Linked DNA regions of Oryza sativa Japonica Group. The protein of the gene in region 3 interacts with the protein of the main gene of each other region in a pairwise test. Links are inferred from orthologs where the notes say so. Each region holds a gene or a part of one and is shown on either strand. Other genes may lie near its edges. The genes, in order: chromatin structure-remodeling complex protein SYD, protein ABERRANT PANICLE ORGANIZATION 1, probable transcription factor FL and ATP-dependent helicase BRM.

Region 1 (5,045 bases), on a different chromosome or scaffold from region 3:
CCTCCAGTTTCTCTCTGCAGTTTAATAGGTAAAATATTTAACAAGCATAAACTATGAGCATACTAAGCTCATAACTTGCAAGGTAATTGCTGGTTGAAACAAATATTCTGGTCTATTTTGTATAAATATGTTTCTTTTCAGTAAACCACCAACTCCTCCTGGGTCAACTTCTTTCAGTTTTAGCTTAGCCAGGTTCAATTTATAAAGGGCAAGGGCAATCTTAGAATGGCTATGCAACTGGAATGTTCAGAGCGCAGCTTCTAGAAAACTATTTCTTCTATAGTCATTGCTCTAAAGAACCTGTACAGGAAAATTAAAACGGTACTATTCCTAGAAAGCAGCTGCATTACAGACACACCCCCAAACTATTAGGTAGTACATGTATTCTACAAAATACTTAAAGACCAGGTACAGATAACTTAAAACATTGGCTAAAAGTAAGAAGAACTAAAGATAAAGGAGTGGGTCGTGATTTCAATCCAACCTGTGGGCCTCTATATCAGCAAAGAATTCCTTCTGTCTCTCACGAATTCTCTTTTGCCTTTCTTCCTTCATTTTCTGTTCAATTTTTTCAAGCTGTTTAACACGACGTCCATGTCTATGTTTCTTTACTGATTTTATGCGGTCCAAATCAGTAGTATTAGGCTTGAAAAAGTCCTGCAAAAATTCACTGCCAAATAGAAGAAATCAAAACAGGGGAAATATAGCCACAGAAACATAAAGTCTGGTAGGAAGAGAAATTAAAAGTTCATGGTGTCCATGACAGGCAGACCTGCGCACACGACGTTGAAGTTGGAGAAGTTGAAGCTTTTTCAATTCAATGACACTCTTTGTTTTTGCAGAAAGATCCTCCGATGAACTAACATTTTCCTGAAGAAAACAGAAGGAATTGAAGTTTTCAACTAAGACTTACAGTGTGTTGAATATGGTAGCATAACACATGCACATGTGCACCAAATCGAGATGTCCATTGTATTAAAAAAATCACAACACATGAGGAAAAGACTGTACTTTGGAAACAATCTTGTATACATGAAACATAAACAATAATTTATAGACGTGTGACATTTCAAAAGTGTGCTTTTCAATTTCCAGGATTTCAAAGTGAGAAAAGTAGGGAGTGACCTTTAGCTTCTCATAGGATGCTGAAATTCTCCTGTGTGCCTTCTGTAACTCTAATGCCTTCCTTTTGTTTTCTTCATATCTTCTCTTCTGATGATCCAAAATCCATTTATCAGTCATTGTGTACTTCGGAGGAGATAATGGTAAATCATCTTGCTCAGAAAGATCTTCGTCTCCTTCATCTGCAGATCGCTCAAATATCATCTCTCCCATGTGGCTACCATTATCAATTTCATTGCCAGCTGTCTCAGGAGTTTGATCCTTTCCAGATAAATTGTGGTTGCTACCATCAACAGGCATATGATGAGGCCTCAAAACTGCAAATGGTTCTTTGGACACTTCATCTTTGGCCAAGAGGCCAACTTCCATACTAGTATGCCTATTACCACCCAAAGGAGATGGTCCCTGGCCTCCTACCCAGCCTAAGTTCCTATTCAAATTTTCTGCATCAGCCTTGTAGATCTCAGGGGTAGTTTTTCTTGTATCTCCCTGAAAGTAATGCAGTTGCCCAGATGGCATGGGAGATATCGTTTCTTGAGAATGCATTTCAGAATCAGTTCCCTGTATAGGAACGGTTTGCTGGATATTTTCTGCTTCAAATGATTTCTCATGTTCAGCTATCTTGATCTTCTTTTTAACAATTTCTGGGTCCTTTGATGCGGAATCAACATCCGCAACACTGCCTGTAGATGTTGATTGAAGTCTAGAAATATCACTTTGCCTACCAAAAATAGCAGGGTTTTCCTGGCTGTTTCCATTTTCCTTTCCAGAACCATCAGCCATTCTGCTCTCACTACCTCTCTGACCTGCACTGCCACCTGTTTTTCAAGCATAGATTCATCAAGACTGACAAAGCAGACAGCTCACACAATATTGCTCTATTCTTAGTTTTTACCTTCTGAAGCAGGGGGACCAACACCTAAAGCAATTTCAAGATGTACCTTCCGGGGCTGCAGATTATTTCTACAAGGAAGTACAGCCGATATGAGTGCTACAGAGATGAGGTTTCAATATTAAGCATAGATGTATTCTGTCAAAGAACAAGACACAAATTAGGATATGGAAGGGTGTGCAGACCTAAATGCAAGAAATACTAAGCACTGCGCTCTGAGCTGCTTCAACTGCTGCTCTTTGAATGGAATGCTGGGAGAGGTTTGAGACATTTGAGATGAACCAGCTCTCTGAGGTGCTCTGACAATTCCGTGCCTTTCTTGCATTGGACTGCCCTGAAAGTTATACCGCATTTGTGTGTCAAAATGCATCTAAAATATTAAGTCAACCAATGGAGATACACATATCAATGAAAAGATGACTGTATGACCAAACAAAAGTGTTTCTAAAACTGGCTACAGAAGGAGATTTACTAAAGTGCAAACAATACTTTTTGTGCAAAGTTCAACAAGAAGTTTACGGAAATGAATACCACACCCTTCATGGTTTGCCAAATATGTTGCAATATGTCTACAAATAAAAAAGAAGGAAATATCCCAGAGGAATTTATCTAGAACAAGCGAGCACAGGAACAAGATTTTTGCATTTCACTAACAAGGATTTCTCCCCCAAATATAAGTCACAGTGTCTCGAAAACAGCATGCAAGAACAAGCTTTTAACATAAGGATATTTAAAATTAAGCTAAAGGTCGTACATGCATGATCCCCAGCTGAGCTCCAGCTTTAGAAGAATTTAGTTCACTGCCAGTATTGCCTGAAGTCAAGTCTTTCCCTTTGTCAAGATACTGTGGACCACCTCCAAAGGAAGAAGACACATAAGGAGGAACTGTGGGGTAATCCATTTGTGATGCAGACATAGAATTAAAAGTTCCTTGTGATCCTAAGTTAACTTTCCCTGTAGCATAAGCACAATCATTAAGGTAAATTTTTGAATTTCAATGTCTCTAGTGAGACTATTATGTAATTCTTTTTTAATTGAAGTACCTTCGACATTAACACCAGGTCTCATTAGGTTGGGAACAGACCCTTGAGTATTCTTCATAACTGGACCTTGTGCATTCTGGTTCCAGCCAAAACTAGCATTAAGTAGATTTGCTCCTCCCAATATACTTTTCTGCAACTCAGCAGGAATGTTGCCAGAAGCTAGTCCTTCAGCAAAATTTGAAATTTGTGCCATTGTGAATGGATTTGATGGTTTAGTCTTGTCTATAGTCCTTGCAGAAGAAGCTGATGGTCCTTCCTGGTGAGCCCTAAAGAAAGGTGCACCACTGGGTAACGGTGGCACCTGAGCATTACCAACTTGTAATGTATGTGATGGATCGTGTTCGACTGTCCTGGAAAGTTGACCCTGAGTACCAGCTTTGCCAGGCTGTTTTCCCTTTCTAATATTTTGTCCGGTAGACATGGCATCTGATTTTGAGTTGTCTTCAGAATGCAAGTCCCCTGCTGCTTTTGGATCCACTCTTTTTCTCTTAGAAGATGATTTTTTGCTTGTTTTTTCATCTGACTTCAAAGAATCATGTGAATTCATAGATCTAGTATCCTCTATTTGCAGACTGGCAGGGCTTTCCATTCCAGAGGATCTTCCACTCTTCTGTGACATGGAGCCTTGATGAATATCAGCTCCTGCAACATCGCTCCTATTTGGTCCTGCTGGGACCCTGCCTGAAATAGATGCACTGTGACGTGCCATATCTGCTGAACCTGACAATATAATACAATGCATCATCAGGTCAAACTCATAAATCCAAAACAGGTGGCTGAGATTACCATGTTGATTTACTTGGTTACCTGATGGAAAATTCCATAATCCAGCATGCGCACTACTTTGGGATGCATCAGTACCAACCATGGGAGGTTGACTGCCAATGATCTCCTTATCCTTAGGCATAGCACCACTAGAATCTCCTGCTTGTGGACCACCAGCTAATGGGATTCTCGATGATCGCAACGCATCCATATCTATTCCATGTTGGCTTACAACAGTCTCCATGGCCCTGTTGACAAATGTTAATAGAAGTTTGGAATTGTGGAGGCAAAAATTAAGGTCTAAATTATGAAAAATCAGATAAAACTTTATTTCGACACAGCACCTTTTCACTTGGTATTTCGAACAAATAAGGTAGATCACATTTGTGATAAATTACGTGACACCAACCAGTAAGGAGACACAGTGTGAGTAACTTTTGTGTTTTTGTGTGTGCGCGCGCACGAGTGTGTGTAAACTGACAAACACTACATTAAGAAAAAATATACAAGATGACCATACTTGGAAAATCATGTGTTTCACAATTCCGCGGACAAGAGAAAGCACAATGGCTTCAAAACACTACACGCATGATTTATTCCCAAGGAATGCAGTCCAAGGCAAAAGTTGCTAAAGGAGGCGTTCCAGAAACATTGGCCGCAAATTTGTTATGTCCACAGAGTCATGGAAGGTCATGATACATAATATTACACTACAAACATGCCAATTGCCAGCTAAGTAAAAGTAGCTCGCTCCTCCCGCCTTGCTGCTTTAGTTCAGTTCTCTATCAGTCTACCGTGCCCTTGCTGCTATCTTCCACCTACTTCTCTCCAACTATTCAATTTTTTTCATCGGTTCAATAAGAAGGTTGGAGGATGAGCGCCTCCCACATCATACATCTTAGCATAATGTGTTACTCTCTTCATTCCAAATTGATCTACATATTTCATAGGTACACCAAGACCAAGAAAAGCTAATAACTCTCTCATATTATATTTACTCTAGCAACAAACTCGATGCATGCACCATCCCCACTATTTCCTAGCCAATAGCAAATCAAGATATTGCATGTGGGTTATAAATACTTGTGTGCATGGATGCATGCACCAATGTCCATTTACTTCAATGCACAAATAACGAATAGACTTAATGAATGAACACAAATATGATAATCATTTAGGAATAACCTCAAAAAAACTATATGATGATCATTTTGGAACGGAGG
Region 2 (4,915 bases), on a different chromosome or scaffold from region 3:
GCACTGGAGTAGGAGTACTACTGTGGTTGTCCTCCATGTACGCAAACAAAAATTTTCGCATCAAAGAGACAACGCCACAGAAGATATTACTGCAGAGTATTAATTTATCTCTACTACTCGCGATGCACTACTAGCCGGAGTCTCAAGCAACACATCACACAGTGTAAAACAAATCCAGCCACGAATTTATACAGTGAGAAAACTATAGCAATATCCATTGCAGACGTACTCGCGTATATTAGTAGTTGTGAGATAACGCTACAGCCGACTACAGGTAAGGGCTCCGTTGGAAGAATTTTTTTATATTTTTTTAGAATTTTTTACTTTTAAATTTTATTAATAAACCTCTCAAAAAAATATTTTTCAAATCTAAATCTTTTGTCCACGCCTTGCAGTGCTGGCTTGCCACGCTAGCCCCTTGCTACGCCACTATGGCTAGCCTGGCCAAACAACGCTGGCATGGCCAAAAGGTTCAGTTTTTGAAAATATTTTTTTGGAAATATATATTAATAAAATTTAAAAATAAAAGGTCTAAAAAATAAAAAAATTCATGTTGGAACGCATCATTCGAAGAACGTAATTAAGAATAGAAAAAAAATAGAGCATTTAGGCTTCTTATTTGATTTATATAGAAATTTCATAGGATTTAAATCCTATATGATTTTTTTCTATTTGGCCCTTTGATACAAAGAATTAAAGCTTTTCAGATCCTATGAAATTCCTATGGAATGGCTCATTGCATGTAGATTTAGGAGAAAACATAGCAAGAGCTTCAACTTCTTGAAAAATTTCCTTTGAGTTTATCTCTCTCATCTAATATAATTCCTGATTTTTCTTGTGGTCTAATCAAACAATTATTTTTATGTTTTTCTTGTGTTTTGCAATCCACTATTTTACATTTGCATTCCTGTTAGAATCATGTGTTTTTCCTATTCCTCCGTTTTTCTTAACCCTGCGATTCAAAGGGGCCTTTTATGTATGGACAAATCACGCAGAATTTCAAAATACATGAAGTTGTACTGGATATACTAGGGATTTAGTGTTCTTTTGAAACACAAATGTTGAAAAAACTTAGGGATATGCATTGAGCTTCTGAAAGGAAATCAAAACCATGAGGTTTGAGCTTATGTTTGAAATCCTTCAAAAAGTGGAGGAAAGAAAGGATTCCTATGAAAATTTTCTTGAAAGGAATCCTATGAAAATTTTCTAACCAAATCATTCAAACCATATGTCTCCCTAGCTAGGAAAATTTTCAATAGTATTTCAATCCTACAACTTTCCTTTAAAAACCCTTTGTTTCAAAAGAGCCTTTAATGGAGGGGAGGGGGGGGGGCAGAGAGAAGATGCGTTGGCCTCACCAAACACAGGATCATAAAAACGCATGAATGATCATAAAAACACAGAAATAGAAAAAAAAATACAGGTTTGGAGTACCCCTACCACTTCAAATCCTATGCAGGAAAACTGCATGAATCCGTTTAGATGGAGCGCAGGAAACACACAGGAATCAGTTCATAAGAGTGAAAGACACAAATGATATTTTTCCAATAGGTTGTACCTCATGTCAAAATTCCTATACTTTGAACCAATCCAAGGAATTTGGTAGGATTTTCGGATGGAAATTTCCTTTGATTCATAGGACCATGTATAAAAATTTTCCTTAGGATTGAGTTCCTTCAAATTTCTTACAAACCTGTCCCAAAGGAGCACTAAAATAAGATTTGAGCTCATATATAGTAAAAAAAATTTCCAATGGAAGTGATGCATATGATAACAGTCCATAGAAAATTGTCATGTTCATATCCTTTGTTCCAAAACACACTAGATATATATAGGAAAAAATCCTTCAAAATTCCTTTGTGGGCTCCTTTGGAACAATGTCCAACACTTTCAAAGGAATTTTAAAGAAAAATCCGAAGATATTTTTTGAGGAAATGATGAACACTGTCCAACAAATTGTTTAAAATCAACCACTGCCGTGTGCAAAAAATAAAAATAAAAATGCATAGAATAACAGATCAGAGCTGAGACAAACCAAAACCGGCGTTGCGCTACCCAGACAACAACAACAACATGTCAACAACTGCTACTCTACTCCATATCCAATCCTTTCCCCTCTCAAATTTAATTACGCAAGAACACACAGTCCATCGATATCCATCATCCATTTATATAACTGTTGCTTTGCTTAGATTGCGATTCTCAAATTTAATCATGAATTCTCATATATGCATACCTTTAGCTTTGGCATGGCTAGCCTCACATGAATTAATCCCTTGGCATCTCGAGTACAAGCTAGTACCACAGTTTCACTATCATTTGATCGCAGCTGCCGCTTCACAGCTGCCTCACTCCACTCCACTTCACCCTTGAAAATTTTCAGCTCACGCAGCTGCAGCTGACGACGCCGCGCGCCGACGACGACGACCATGATGAACCCTCGCCGGCTGCCGCCTCTGCCGTCGTCGACGTCGTCCGCCTCGGCAGCGGACGACATGGACCCGCGCGTGTGGCGCCGGCTGCCGCAGCCGCTGGTGGACCGCATCCTGGCGTGCCTCCCGACGCCGTCGTTCCTCCGCCTCCGCGCCGCCTGCCGCCGCTTCTACCACCTCCTCTTCTCCTCCCCGTTCCTCCACTCCCACCTCCTCCTCTCCCCTCACCTCCCCTTCTTCGCCTTCGTCGTCCCCGCCGCCGGCCACCTCCTCCTCCTCGACCCCACCGCCACCGCCTCCTGGTCCCGCCTCCCGCTCCCGCTCCCGCCCGTCGCCGGCGGCCCCGCCGCGTTCTCGCCCGCGGCCGCGTCCGCCGGCCTGCTCGCGTTCCTGTCCGACGCGTCGGGGCACAAGACGCTGCTGCTCGCCAACCCGATCACCCGCCTCCTCGCCGCGCTCCCCATCTCCCCGACCCCGCGCCTCTCCCCCACCGTCGGCCTCGCCGCCGGCCCGACCTCCATCATCGCCGTCGTGGCCGGGGACGACCTCGTGTCCCCCTTCGCCGTCAAGAACATCTCCGCCGACACGTTCGTCGCCGACGCCGCCTCCGTCCCGCCCTCCGGCTTCTGGGCTCCCAGCTCCCTGCTCCCTCGCCTCTCCTCCCTCGATCCCCGCGCCGGCATGGCCTTCGCCTCCGGCAGGTAAGCGCGCCGCGCCATTGATGACGCATGGGTAAATACTCTTGCACAGATTTGCTGATCTTGCCTTGGTTGTTGTTCTTAGGTTCTACTGCATGAGCTCGTCGCCGTTTGCGGTTCTGGTGTTCGACGTGGCGGAGAACGTATGGAGCAAGGTGCAGCCGCCGATGAGGCGGTTCCTGAGGTCGCCGGCGCTGGTGGAGCTCGGCGGCGGGAGGGAGGGAGCGGCGAGGGTGGCGCTGGTGTCGGCCGTCGAGAAGAGCCGTCTCAGCGTGCCCCGCAGCGTGCGCCTGTGGACGCTGCGCGGCGGCGGCGGCGGCGGCGGCGGTGGCGCGTGGACGGAGGTGGCGCGGATGCCGCCGGAGGTGCACGCGCAGTTCGCCGCGGCGGAGGGCGGGCGCGGGTTCGAGTGCGCGGCGCACGGCGACTACGTCGTGCTCGCGCCGCGCGGGCCCGTGGCGCAGGCGCCCACGAGCGCGCTCGTGTTCGACTCCCGCCGCGACGAGTGGCGGTGGGCGCCGCCGTGCCCGTACGTCGTCGTCGCGCACCACGGCGGCGCCGGCGCGGCGGGTTTCCGGGTGTTCGCGTACGAGCCCCGGCTGGCGACGCCGGCCATTGGCCTCCTCGACGCCACGGCGCCCGTCGCCTTGCATGGCATGCATGATGGTTAGGAGCATACTATGTGCTTTTTTGTGCATGCTGCCTGCATCAACTAATCAATTTGTTATGGCCTAGGGCATGCATACACATGTTCATGAGCAAGCTAGGTTTGTGGTGTATTAAAGTTGTTTCAGCAATGGGGATCATATGTTAATTTCTTATGAGCAATTAAGTGTGTTATATGATAGGTTAGGTATGAGAATTAGCATGATTCTAGCTAGTAGTATGTGCAAGTTAGTAGTATGTACTAGGTAGCTTAATTAATTAATTAGGTTGTATTTGTCATCTGAGTTGGTAGTGTGCTAGATTGACAGTGGTCTGAACTCTGAAGTGGTTTCATCTCTGTTAATTCAGAAAACACTAATAATTCAGAAAACCTACTGAAGGGTTTCTACTCAACAACTACTACTACTTTGATCTTGCCATGAGATCTGTTGAAGAATATTCATGCATGTGATTTTCTGAAGAGTGTTGATTTAGATGGTTTATCATGATCACATGAAGCCTACAACAGTATGTGATCATTTGAGTATGATCTTCTGGCCAGCATGACTTTGTCTGTTGAATCCACCTCAGATCGGTATATAGTTTCTCAGTTTGGATATGCATTTCTTCCATATATTTGCTTAATATTCACACATACTTATGTGTGTAGTTGCATCTTTCTTGTGAGTGAAATTAGTACGACCTCTATTAAATAAAGCTAGATACTCTGAAAAAGTAAGATGCCCAAACTTAGTTTATGTAGCGCCCTTGGTCGATCAAATTTTATGGCCAATCTTTTTTTTTTCTTTTGCAAGCTTACTCTAGCTAGAATTGTACTCCTAACATAGACATTGTATATATGTAAACATAGTTTTCCCGATCGATCGAGTTGTTGATTCAGTATATCATGCATCTCTGGGGAAGCAGTAACAAGCACCAGAGATATGGTGGTTCAGATCTTTAGCCACCCCCAACCAGGTTCTAATCACATCCATTTAATTTTAAAAATCATGTGTAAGTAATATACTGCTAGTATATATAGTATGTTCTAAAGATCTCAATAGGATTGTAGAAATCCCAAAGGAACTAAACTGCAAAACATGCTACGCACTGATTATTACAGTCATTTGGAACACACTA
Region 3 (5,611 bases):
TACACGACGAGTTCCTACACGACGACGCATCCTCGATCGGCCCATCGAATAGCTTAGAACGACCTAACTGCCTTACAACGAAAACACGGCCCAACACCACAGGAAACTCCCACGCGCCGTGGCGGCGCGGGAACAGCAGCAGAGTCTCCGGCGAGCTTAGAACAAGGGCGGCGGGAGCGCGGCGGCGGCGGCGGCGTGGCTGCTCCGCGCCTGGTGGCAGAGCTGGCGGAGTCTGGTGGGCACGTACCAGATGGCGAGGCGCGGGTGCGCGGCGAAGACGGCGTCGATGTCGAATCCGTGGCGCGCGGAGATGTCGACGAGCGGCGCGTAGCAGGCCTGCCTCCACGCCCCCACGTTCTCGCCGCGGGCCTTGTAGGCGCGCCGCAGCGCGTCCGACGCCTCCTCGTCCAGGCAGTGCAGCGCGTAGCAGTGCACGTAGTGCCGCATCTTGGGCTTGTTGATGTAGCTCGCCCCGACCTTCTTCGCGTACCGGAACACCTGGTTCGTCACCTGCATCCACCCATACATGCATGATGCATGAAGGCCATTTCATTGCGTTTCACCACCGAGACGTTCGCGTGTGCGTGCAGCTAGCTCGTGCACATGACTCATGCGTCGCACAGTGAGATCACGGATCTGATCGGCTGCTTGGGGGCGCAGGAGCGCATCGATGCAGCAGCCGGTCCGTCCGGGCTGTGAGTGGACGGGATGCAAAGCCATCCAATCACCCTGGAACCCCGACCAGGCCGTGCGTGCATTCATTTCATTGCACCGTCTCCGAGCTGAGCGCCCTGATCCACGGCGGCAGGTGAGCTCACATGGCCGTACGTGCGAGGGATTGCCGCCACGGAATCCGAGGAAGTGGCCGTCCTCCTCCCCCTACCTCCATATGGCTCCATGGCTGTGGGGTGTGGCTCCATTGCCATGCATGCCTACGCTGATGGCTAGGGCCCGACAAGACAACACATGGAACGCAGGCTTTGCCAGCCTACCTGCAACTGACACGTCGGCACTCTTTTTCAGGTTGGTACTTGGTACTACTGCGCATCGGCGTACGCGCTCGTGTCCAGCTCTTCCTGAATTCTTCTACTACCCGCGTACGTGAAGCATCCACTACGTAATCACTGTTTGCTTGTAACAAAGCGAACGGACGGCTATGCATGGGACTAATGAAACAGGGAGAGCACGAGTGCATGGCAGAAATACCGGTATGACAGAAACAGGGAGCATCCTGTTACCATGTGATGTGTGTTCCTCGTCTGTGAGCATGAATTGGTAGAATAGATTAACACCCTAGCAAGTCTTACAGAAGGAAAGTGAGCATTCCTGCTGTTTTACGAATGTTTTTCAAAAGGTTTTGCCCGTTGTACAGTTGATTTTCTAGAAATTTTAAACACTGTCGCCCTTTTAAGTCAAAGAGCCAATGCTAAAAGTTTTGAATAGGCGGAAAACTTAAGCATTGAAAATACTCAAGTTATTTACTAGATGCTTTAGTAATCAACTGTTTGTTACCATGCAATGATAATGAATCTTTCGCACCTTTTTAACTCAAGACTGGCCAACAGAATACTCCTACTCCATATCTGACGGCAGCACGATGTATTTGCTCCTACTAGTAGTACTTATAGGAGTAACTGTGAATGAGTAATAAACAATAAACAAGTCGAGCCGTTGGGATGACAGTAGTCTTAGGGTGTGTTTGAGGAGAAGGGGATTGGGGAGATTGGGGAGATTGGGAAGATACGCAAAACGAGGTGAGCCATTAGCACATGATTAATTGAGTATTAACTATTTTAAACTTCAAAAATGGATTAATATGATTTTTTAAAGCAACTTTCCTATAGAAATTTTTTGTAAAAAACGCACCGTTTAGCAGTTTGGGAAGCGTGCGCACGGAAAACGAGATGCTTTTGTCTCTCAATCCCCCAGATTGCCCAGGAACGAACGTTCCCTTATTCAGATCGTCTTACGTCTGCATGCTTATGCAAGAACGCGAGCATAGTAGGGTAGGAGTACGTAAGATATAGAGTACGTAAGATACGTAATGCTCGTAAATCACGCGTACCTTGGTTGGGGACTTGTGTCCATGCAGCTTAGCCATGGATTGCACCTGCAGCAGGAAGAGGCGGCACTGCTCGTACAGATGGAACAGGTAGTCCAGCCCGTTCTTCTTGGCCCTCGCCACCTCGCCGGGCTCCGTCACCACGAAAGGATGCTCCCTCTGCCGCTCCCCGCCGCCGCCGCCGGCCGACGACTCCGTCGACTCCGACCCGCCGCCGCCGTCCTCGTCGCAGCAGTCCATCTCGTCCTCCTGCATGTCCAGCCTTAGGTCGTCCACCTTCTTCCTCCTCGCCTTCTTGCCCTTCCTCGCCGCGGATCCCTTCTTCGCCTGCTTCTTGCCGGTCACCATCCTCCTGCCGTTGTCGTCGTCGCCCATGCCGCCGCTCCCCGCCATGTCATGCTCGTCGGACAACACTGTTCGCGTGCATGCATGCATCACAGCATCGTGTACAGAACAAGCACAGGAACATGGTTAAGAATTTAACCGATCAGCTTTTGCATGCATGCATGATGACATCGTCGCAATTCACACGCAAGAACACACAGTACGCACTTAATACGCACGAGCGTGTTCGGTAATCACATGAAACAAGAGGAGAAAGATAGTGGTATGATCGATGCGTAAGATACCTTCCTGGGAGGCGCCGTCCACGGTGCTCCCGGACTGGTGCCCATGGTGGCGGCCGCCGAGCGACATCAGGCGGCCGCGCTCGGCTCGCAGCGCGGCGCGGAGGCCGAACCGCTCGCCGAGGAGCAGGTCCCAGCGGAACAGCCCGGCGAGCGCGGCCATCATGTCGTCGAGCTCGCGCTCCGTCATGGCCAGGAGCGTGCTCGCCGTGAACCCGAGCTCCGAGATCCGCGCCACCGTCGACATCCGCACGCCGTACCCTGCCACCAGCTCCTCCAGCTCCCTGGGCACGTTAGCCGGCGGCGGCGGCGGCGGTGGTGGCGGCGGTGGTGGCACGGGCGCCGGCGCCGGCGGGCCGAGGTCCCACCGGAACGGGTGCGCGGCCGAGAAGGCATCGTTGGGATCCATGCGAGGATGGCTACTAGCTTGCTGTCCTTGCGGTCGGCCGGGCTCGGTTTCTCCGGTTGTTTCTTGTGTTTCGCCCACACACCTCTGTGCGTCGCGTTGGGCTCGTTATATAGCGGCCACTGTAGTGTTGGGCTATAGTTGCTGCACGCGGTTGACTTGACAAATCTCCATAGCTCGTTGCATTGGTCCGGATCGATGTATCTGCATTCACGCTAGCTTTTGGTTTTTGTCCAATACTTGGAGGAAGGGAGCGAGCTACCGATCGATACTACGTGAAAACGACCTGTCCTGTAGAAAGCTGCATGCGTCGCTAGAGCACACACGATTTGATAGTCTAGATTCTAGTAAGCCCTATTACGTGCCGGTACATAAAAAGTAGGCACAGTAAGCCTTATAGGAGTAATACACCCACACATTGTGTTGTCCTGTCACGGCGTACGTGCATTTGTAATGTGGCGCACGTCTCAAGTGTCCTTCGATCTTTTCGTCCCGTCTCTCCTTGGAGGTAGCAACGGCGTCACTGTTCCTCTTCCGAAGAAAAAAGATACTCCTGCATGCGTACTGTTGTTGCGTACACGGTGAACACGGGTGAGGCCGTAGCCTTGTGCCCTTAATTATCGTACGTGGCGGTTGTCCATGTAATCGTGTGAGCGGTGGGGGCAGAAGATTAGCGTGTCATTCTGCAGATTTTCCCCACGCTAGGGCAACTCAAAAATGTTTTTGATTCCGAGGGCGAAAATATACTTTTTAAGAATTATTTTACCATTCTGGATAATTAATGTATCGAGAGACACCGTATTTTTTTAATATAAAACTTAATACTTTTAGATACTGTGTATTTTGAGATAAACAAAAGAGTAAATTGCATCAGCGGTACACGAACTTGTCAGGTTGGTGCAATCTAGTACATGAACTTCTAAAACGCTCGTTTCTGTGCACGAGCTTGTTTGATGCGTGCGAATAATGTCAAAATCGCACTGCAAGGTTAATCTTGTTGATTCTGTGGTTGATTTAAACTCTATGTAAACATTAGTCTAAGAAGGATAAACATATAATAAGGCATAATGATTGTATAAAAAAATAAAAATTTGAGTAATGATGCAAGGGACAGAAACAAAGAAAGATAAAGTGGAATCTAAGAAAAATCGGTCTTGTCGCACCATTTTAGTCTTAGTTTGCACATACCAGACAAATTCATGCACCAAAACGAGACGAGCATTTTATAAGTTCATACACTAAATTGCACGCACCTGACAAATTTATGTACCGCTAATATAATTTACTCTAAAAAATGTAGTGTAAAATTTCTCTTCTTTTAAAGTCTCACTATGGTGCATTCATTGGTCTTATTTGATTGGAGGATTTAGATCTTTTTTACAATTATTTCAATTAACGGTAGTAGAAATATGGAGTGATATTTATTGTAAAAAAGAATAATGTGCATGGTGTATAATTGTCATTTAGCAATGATTAAATATTTGTTTCTCTTTCTGGATTTTTTATGGAATATCATCGATGCCGGTGCAACGGATGACCACAGATCAATCTAGCCGGGGAAAAACATAAATGACAAAGTTACTCCTAATCACCATATTAATGACGGGGGATTTCTTGGTTTTACTCCCTCCATCCAAAAAGTCCAAGACCTATTTTCTTTTTGACCAAGGCCAGTGAGTAATTAATTAATTCATTATGTGACAAAATCAATGAACATGTAACCAATAAGTACTGAAGTATAATGATTTCTTAGGCTCCGCTCAAAAATTTAATATAACACATAGTAATGACTATATGGATAGGACTTAAACTTTTAGAAAACCAAAAAATAAAATATATCTTAAAACTTTTGGATGGAGGGAGTAGTCAGTTACCGATGTTTCTCCTATTGTGTCAAAGGTTGGTTTGCTTAGTCATTAATTAGCTCGATAGAACACTAGGAATAGTTCACGGTCGAGTCCGAAAGCATTAATTAATGAAATGAGCCTAGTGCATCGAGTGTTTTTTACATTTGAATTTAAAAGCTACCATAGGCAAGGAACTCTACCTATTGGTAGTATATTTTGGGGGTAAACGACATTCAACCACTCTGCCTAACGGTACAACGCTCGTATTGCTCTCTCATAACTTCGTGTTTACGATTTAGACTACTCCAATTTCGCTTGTTGCTTCTATAATTCAATCGAGATTTTCTAGTTAAGAGAGAATTAGTTATCTATTAGCTCAAAGAGACGCTTATCTTTAGCCTCTACCTTATAGTTGACGGTAAAAAGGAGAAATGAAGGTAGCAGGGGACTTTAATATATAGCAAAATTACCACGTTTTTTAATCATGAGACAGTTGTATGAGAGCAAGGATAATAGTACAGCTCACTTCCTACTATTAGCACATTTTAAAGCCAACAGATATAATAGATTAGCTATAAGGTTGGCTATAATTTTCTTCTCTTCTCTGTCTCTCACTTATACATTTAATGTATTTGTCTTGGAGTTTGTAATAATCTAGCTCTTGTATGAG
Region 4 (5,045 bases), on a different chromosome or scaffold from region 3:
GAAGAGGAGGAAGGTGCAGGTGGTGGCAATCTACGGCCACCAGATGAAGATCCTGTTGAACCAGCTTCTTCAGATCTATGGGCTTTTCTGCGTCCCATCCCATGTGAAAAATCATACCCTTCATCATTGATAGGCTCTTCTTCCTCTGATTGATCCTTATTATCAGGCACTGAATCATCATTGTCCTCTTCATCTTCAAATTCTCCTATTTCCCCTTCTTCAGGCAGAGATGAGGTATTCCTCTCTTCAGAATCATCATCAGATTCCTCAAAATCGTCATCATCAATCTCCCTGTAGATGGAGTACTTCCCAGACCCCTTAGGTCGCCCCCTTCGTTTCTCAAGTTTTTCATTAGTGTCAAGAGAAATTCCCCCAGCCGCCATATTTCTCAAGGGCTTTTTGGATAAACTCGCAACAACAGCATCAAGCTCCGTGGAGCTAACACGGAGCCACTTGGGAGCTTGATTGTGTTTCATCATATCTCCTGTCCAATCAAATTCTTCATCCATCTGATCAAATAGCTCAACTTCTTCTTCAGTCCGAGCAATCATGCGGTTAACTTGCTGTAGTGAAGGAACGTCATGAACAGTTTCTTGATATCTCTCTTCATCATGCAGGAGTGTTTCCAAAGTCATCCGCCTTTCCTCATGGGTTGTTCTTTGATCAAATCGACCAGCATTAATGACTTCATCTGCCATGTCAATTTTGTACTGTTGGATATTATTGCGGATGAGACTTTCTATTGAACCCATGTACCTGTCCTTTCCCGCAAGATCATCCTCCAGATCTCCACTTCCCCCATTCCTCAACTCATCCTCTTTCTGATAACTTGAGATGTTATCAACAACAGCCTCCATGTAAATAACTTTTACATCCCTAGTCTGCCCTATACGATGGGCCCTAGCAACTGCTTGCTCTTCATTTTGTGGATTCGGATCAGGGTCATAAATTACAACAGTGTCTGCACTCTGAAGATTCAGACCCCTGCCAGCAGCCCGAATACTAAGCAAGAATATAAAACAATCAGAATTAGGCCTGTTGAAGTCAACAATTGCTGATTCACGATCTTCCAAGCTAGTTGTTCCATCAATTCTTCTGTAAACAAGTTGCCTCCATTGCAAATATTCTTCCAGGATGTCAAGAAGTTTTGTCATAGTGCTGAAAAGGAGTACACGGTGACCTGACCTATGAAGCTTAATTAAAATCCTATCAAGATTCCACAACTTCCCACAAGATCTGATTATAAAATCTTTTCCATAGTAATTCATAAAAGGATATGACAGCAATGGATGGTTGCAAACTTTCCTCAGCTCCATGCATTTGTTATTGAGATTCTTATATGTCTTAGCCTGGTACATTGCATTCCTCTGAATACGTGCTTTCTCATCTTCAGGATCAACCCTGATGGTGCCAGTGGATTTTATCCAATCATATATAGCACCTTGAATACCAGACATTCTGCACCTCAAAACAATTGACTCCTGCAAATGACATGACGAGTTAACAATGTAGCAAACAAAAAGAGCTGAGTGACAAATAGCATCACTGAGTGTGACAAGGGCAGAACAATCGACCTTTCTTGGAAGTGAGCCTTCAACATCTTCAACACGCCTTCGTAGCATAAAAGGTTCCAAAATTTGATGCAGCCTATGAATAATAATTACTTTTTTCTCAGTTTCCAGCCAATCATCTTCTTCTTCACTATGTGTAGGAACATCTCTCTGAAAAGGTTTTGAGAACCAATCTTGAAATGCCTTACGGTTGTCAAATACTTCTGGTAGCAACAAATTTAGGAGGGACCAAAGCTCCTTAAGATCATTCTGAAAGAATTGAATAAAAAGCATTAAATAATAGCCCTAAAGTGTTATAGAAATAAAACAACATTTGCTGATGTGGTCCTAACAATATTGGCAGACCAGAGAAAAGGAACTTCCGTGACACAGGAAAAGAAAAGGGGATTGTGTTACAATGTAGAACGATTGTGTTACATTTATTATTAATGCTTACCTGTAGAGGAGTGCCAGTGAGAAGCAAACGCCGTTGGCAACGATAACGATCAAGATCTCGCGCCAAGACTGACTCTCTGTCCTTCATCCGTTGGGCCTCATCAATAATAATGTACTTCCAATCAATTCTTGAAAGCTTGGAACGGTCATACATAACAAATTCATATGTTGTTACAAGAACATTGAATTTCACAGCCAGAACCTCCTGCAAGATTAATCAAAAAGAATATTGAAGCAAAATCCGTGAGCAGGTGGTTCCAAATCAGATAATGCATTAGTAAGCGGGTGATTCCGAAGTCAGAGAATACATGATTTACGAGTGTTATCCTTCCAGAATATGGATCAAACAATATAACTAGGACCACCAAGTATTTAAGAAACATTTGTGATAACAATACTGTTAATCAAACAGTGATCTAGGAGGGAAAGGTATTGTGAATCTTTTCAATTCTATAAATGCTAAGCAGTATTATAAGTCCAGATATAGCATAAAATAGGCTATAAAACGGAAGAAACTTGCCTGAGAGAATAATTTTTGACGTTGATCCTTTGCACCAACATAAAAGATGCAAGATGCAGATGGCAACCAGTTCAGCAATTCACTCTAAATCAATAATAGAAATCCAAGTAAAAAATTATGTTTCAAAATAAATATCCCCATCATAAAATAGATACAAACAGTATTTCCTCAGAGTAAAGGACAGGAAAATAGAACCTTCCAGTTGACCAAGACAGCATTCGGTACAATTATGAGATGTGGTCCATAATTCCCTTTAAATTCCATCAAGTATGCAATCAGAGACATAACCTATTTATTCAATTGGTGGCCACAAAAAGATGTTACTAGCAGGGCAAAAGGAAATGGGGAGGCAAATGAGATAATAAAAGAAAATATTGTGAAATAGCAAAAGTCTAGCAGGTAGAACGGAATAAGAAATCCACACCTGTACGGTCTTGCCAAGACCCATCTCATCAGCCAAAATACCATTCAACTTATTATTGTACAAGGAAAGCATCCATTGAAGGCCCACCTGTGGATAGGCAACAAATCAAATTGTAGATTTTTTTTGGTGGTTGGAAATAGACTTGAAATGTTTTAAATATATATTATATCATATAAGAAAATTAAGTTGAAGGTAAATGGCCTACCAGCTGGTAGTCCCTTAACGTTCCTGCTCGCAGCAGTGAGGGCTGCCTTGTAACTCTCTCATTCACAGCATGAGCCAATGTGTAGTACCTAAAATAATACGGCAAGTGTAAGCTTATTTATGCTGAAAACTAGTGTGCACTAAATGCCCATATTGATCTACAGTTAGCAGCTCCAAATTAGAGAGTGAAGCAAATTTACTCACAGGAGTCAAAAGCACATATAAACTTTACTTGTAGTGAATCAGAAACATAAATTGTCAAAATGAATATTGAAAATAAGATAATTACTTACTTATTAACAGATGTGTTTTCCCTGGGCGCATTCATTTCAGAGAATGTGTTCCTTATCATAACCTCCTGACCAGCACATTGTGCAGCAGCCTTCACTTCTTCTTCAGAAAGACCCTATTAAACAAGTGGTATGCTCAATTATCTACAGGACTATGAAACTTGGGGAATGAATGCATCAGTGCAGCTAAAAGTTATGGACCAGTAGTGTATAAGTGCAATGATGAATGAGGGTACAGATAAACACAAGGCAAGAAGTGTATTGGCCAGTGTACTGTCTGTACCCCCAACCTCGAAATTAAAAAGTTTGTGCTAACATTTATCGTTTGCGTCACAACCCATAAATAAGAAACAAAAGAGGGATGGGGAAAAGGCCGTTATCATTTTCCAGAGCAAAGAATGTCATACTCATACCTGTGCTCGGGCAGCAGCAGCAGCAGCATTTGCCGCCTCTTCAACTTGCTGATGATTCTTGGCAGCAGTTATTTTCCCTCCAAGTTTATAGAGATACTCCTCAGTCTGGGTCAAGAAAGAAGATAGAACATTGTATCTTTGAGCTGCATCGCCAGGAACACTGGTTTGTTGTTCCAATAATATTTGACGATATCTTTCCACGTCATTGTTTTTCAGTGCCTCCATTCTTTTGTTTCGATCATCATCCTTTTTCTTTGAGAATTCCCTCAGCATCCTTTCATGGTACTTGGCTACCCCTCGGTTACGAGTAATCCGTGCATCACGAATGGCCCAGTGTGCCTCCAAAAGCTTCTTGCGCCACTGGAAAATGGATTTGAGCTGCTTTTCTCTTGAGGCTTTCTGCATCTGCTGAACTTGCCTTGTAAGCTCAACACGCTGGCGTTCACATTGTCTGACAAACTTTCTGTACACCCTATCAGGCATTGCCATTATTTCTTGTTGCTCCTGTTCAACTTCATCCCTCATACGAGCCTGAAATTCAAGGAGTTTCAGCTTCTTTTCTTCAATCTGCAGCCTTAAAACAAGATCTGGTTGGATCCTTTTCCTCTCTAGATTAATTGCAAGCAAGCCACTGATCTTTTTTAAATTATCCTCCCGTTTCTTGCCAAGAACTATCATGCCTTCCTGAGCTAACAAATCCTTCACGTCATAACCGAGTGCTAGATTACTGTTGTAATTTGCAGACACCATGGAATCATGTTTCCTGGTAAAGGATGGAAAGTCAAATAGTGGCCCATGGTATTTTCTTGAAACATCTCTGTTGGGAGTAGGCACGCTACTTGATGAGGCAGCTCTTTTTGCCTGCTCAGCGTCTGCTGAACCACTTTCTGCTGGCAAAGATTTCCCCCTTTCACCATTGTAATCACTTCTCCCAGGTGTTCTCTGGATACCCCTTTCTGGATCCTGCTCAGATTTAATCAGGGTGGTGTTGGTTTGTTCAGGCATTGAAACTGGTCCAATTCTAAGAGGTTCCTTGGGTGAAGCTTTCATCACTTGCATGGGACCACTAGCAGGAATAGTTTTGTCTTCTGGAGCAGAAACCTCCACCTTTGGTAAACAGGGCGCCTTCAACAGGGAAGATCTTTCAGGAGCTATACCACCACTCTCCACAGGTCTTCCATGTTCATC

The links.
Region 1: the proteins of probable transcription factor FL (region 3) and chromatin structure-remodeling complex protein SYD interact in binary tests that used the Arabidopsis thaliana proteins (3 or more experiments, as listed by UniProt). The link is inferred for Oryza sativa Japonica Group from reciprocal best matches to the Arabidopsis thaliana genes LFY and SYD.
Region 2: the proteins of probable transcription factor FL (region 3) and protein ABERRANT PANICLE ORGANIZATION 1 interact in binary tests that used the Arabidopsis thaliana proteins (3 or more experiments, as listed by UniProt). The link is inferred for Oryza sativa Japonica Group from reciprocal best matches to the Arabidopsis thaliana genes LFY and UFO.
Region 4: the proteins of probable transcription factor FL (region 3) and ATP-dependent helicase BRM interact in binary tests that used the Arabidopsis thaliana proteins (3 or more experiments, as listed by UniProt). The link is inferred for Oryza sativa Japonica Group from reciprocal best matches to the Arabidopsis thaliana genes LFY and BRM.

Annotation. Positions count from the first base shown.
Region 1 is NC_089040.1:8,214,445-8,219,489, reverse strand, and holds part of chromatin structure-remodeling complex protein SYD, read right to left. Parts: intron 4,071-5,045; coding exon 3,058-4,070; intron 2,969-3,057; coding exon 2,769-2,968; intron 2,349-2,768; coding exon 2,200-2,348; intron 2,086-2,199; coding exon 2,018-2,085; intron 1,941-2,017; coding exon 1,126-1,940; intron 871-1,125; coding exon 773-870; intron 671-772; coding exon 485-670; intron 15-484; coding exon 1-14. UniProt on the Arabidopsis thaliana protein: Catalytic component of the chromatin structure-remodeling complex (RSC), which is involved in transcription regulation and nucleosome positioning.
Region 2 is NC_089040.1:28,344,454-28,349,368, reverse strand, and holds protein ABERRANT PANICLE ORGANIZATION 1, read left to right. Parts: upstream 1-2,267; 5' UTR 2,268-2,429; coding exon 2,430-3,133; intron 3,134-3,215; coding exon 3,216-3,801; 3' UTR 3,802-3,856; downstream 3,857-4,915. UniProt on the Arabidopsis thaliana protein: Component of SCF(ASK-cullin-F-box) E3 ubiquitin ligase complexes, which may mediate the ubiquitination and subsequent proteasomal degradation of target proteins. Considered as a meristem identity factor required for normal growth of the young floral meristem.
Region 3 is NC_089038.1:30,688,931-30,694,541, forward strand, and holds the start of probable transcription factor FL, read right to left. Parts: upstream 3,330-5,611; 5' UTR 3,098-3,329; coding exon 2,692-3,097; intron 2,476-2,691; coding exon 2,066-2,475; intron 511-2,065; coding exon 157-510; 3' UTR 1-156. UniProt on the Arabidopsis thaliana protein: Probable transcription factor that promotes early floral meristem identity in synergy with APETALA1.
Region 4 is NC_089036.1:758,732-763,776, forward strand, and holds part of ATP-dependent helicase BRM, read right to left. Parts: coding exon 3,858-5,045; intron 3,561-3,857; coding exon 3,448-3,560; intron 3,244-3,447; coding exon 3,156-3,243; intron 3,038-3,155; coding exon 2,951-3,037; intron 2,815-2,950; coding exon 2,722-2,814; intron 2,611-2,721; coding exon 2,527-2,610; intron 2,212-2,526; coding exon 2,008-2,211; intron 1,821-2,007; coding exon 1,575-1,820; intron 1,482-1,574; coding exon 1-1,481. UniProt on the Arabidopsis thaliana protein: ATPase subunit of a multiprotein complex equivalent of the SWI/SNF complex that acts by remodeling the chromatin by catalyzing an ATP-dependent alteration in the structure of nucleosomal DNA.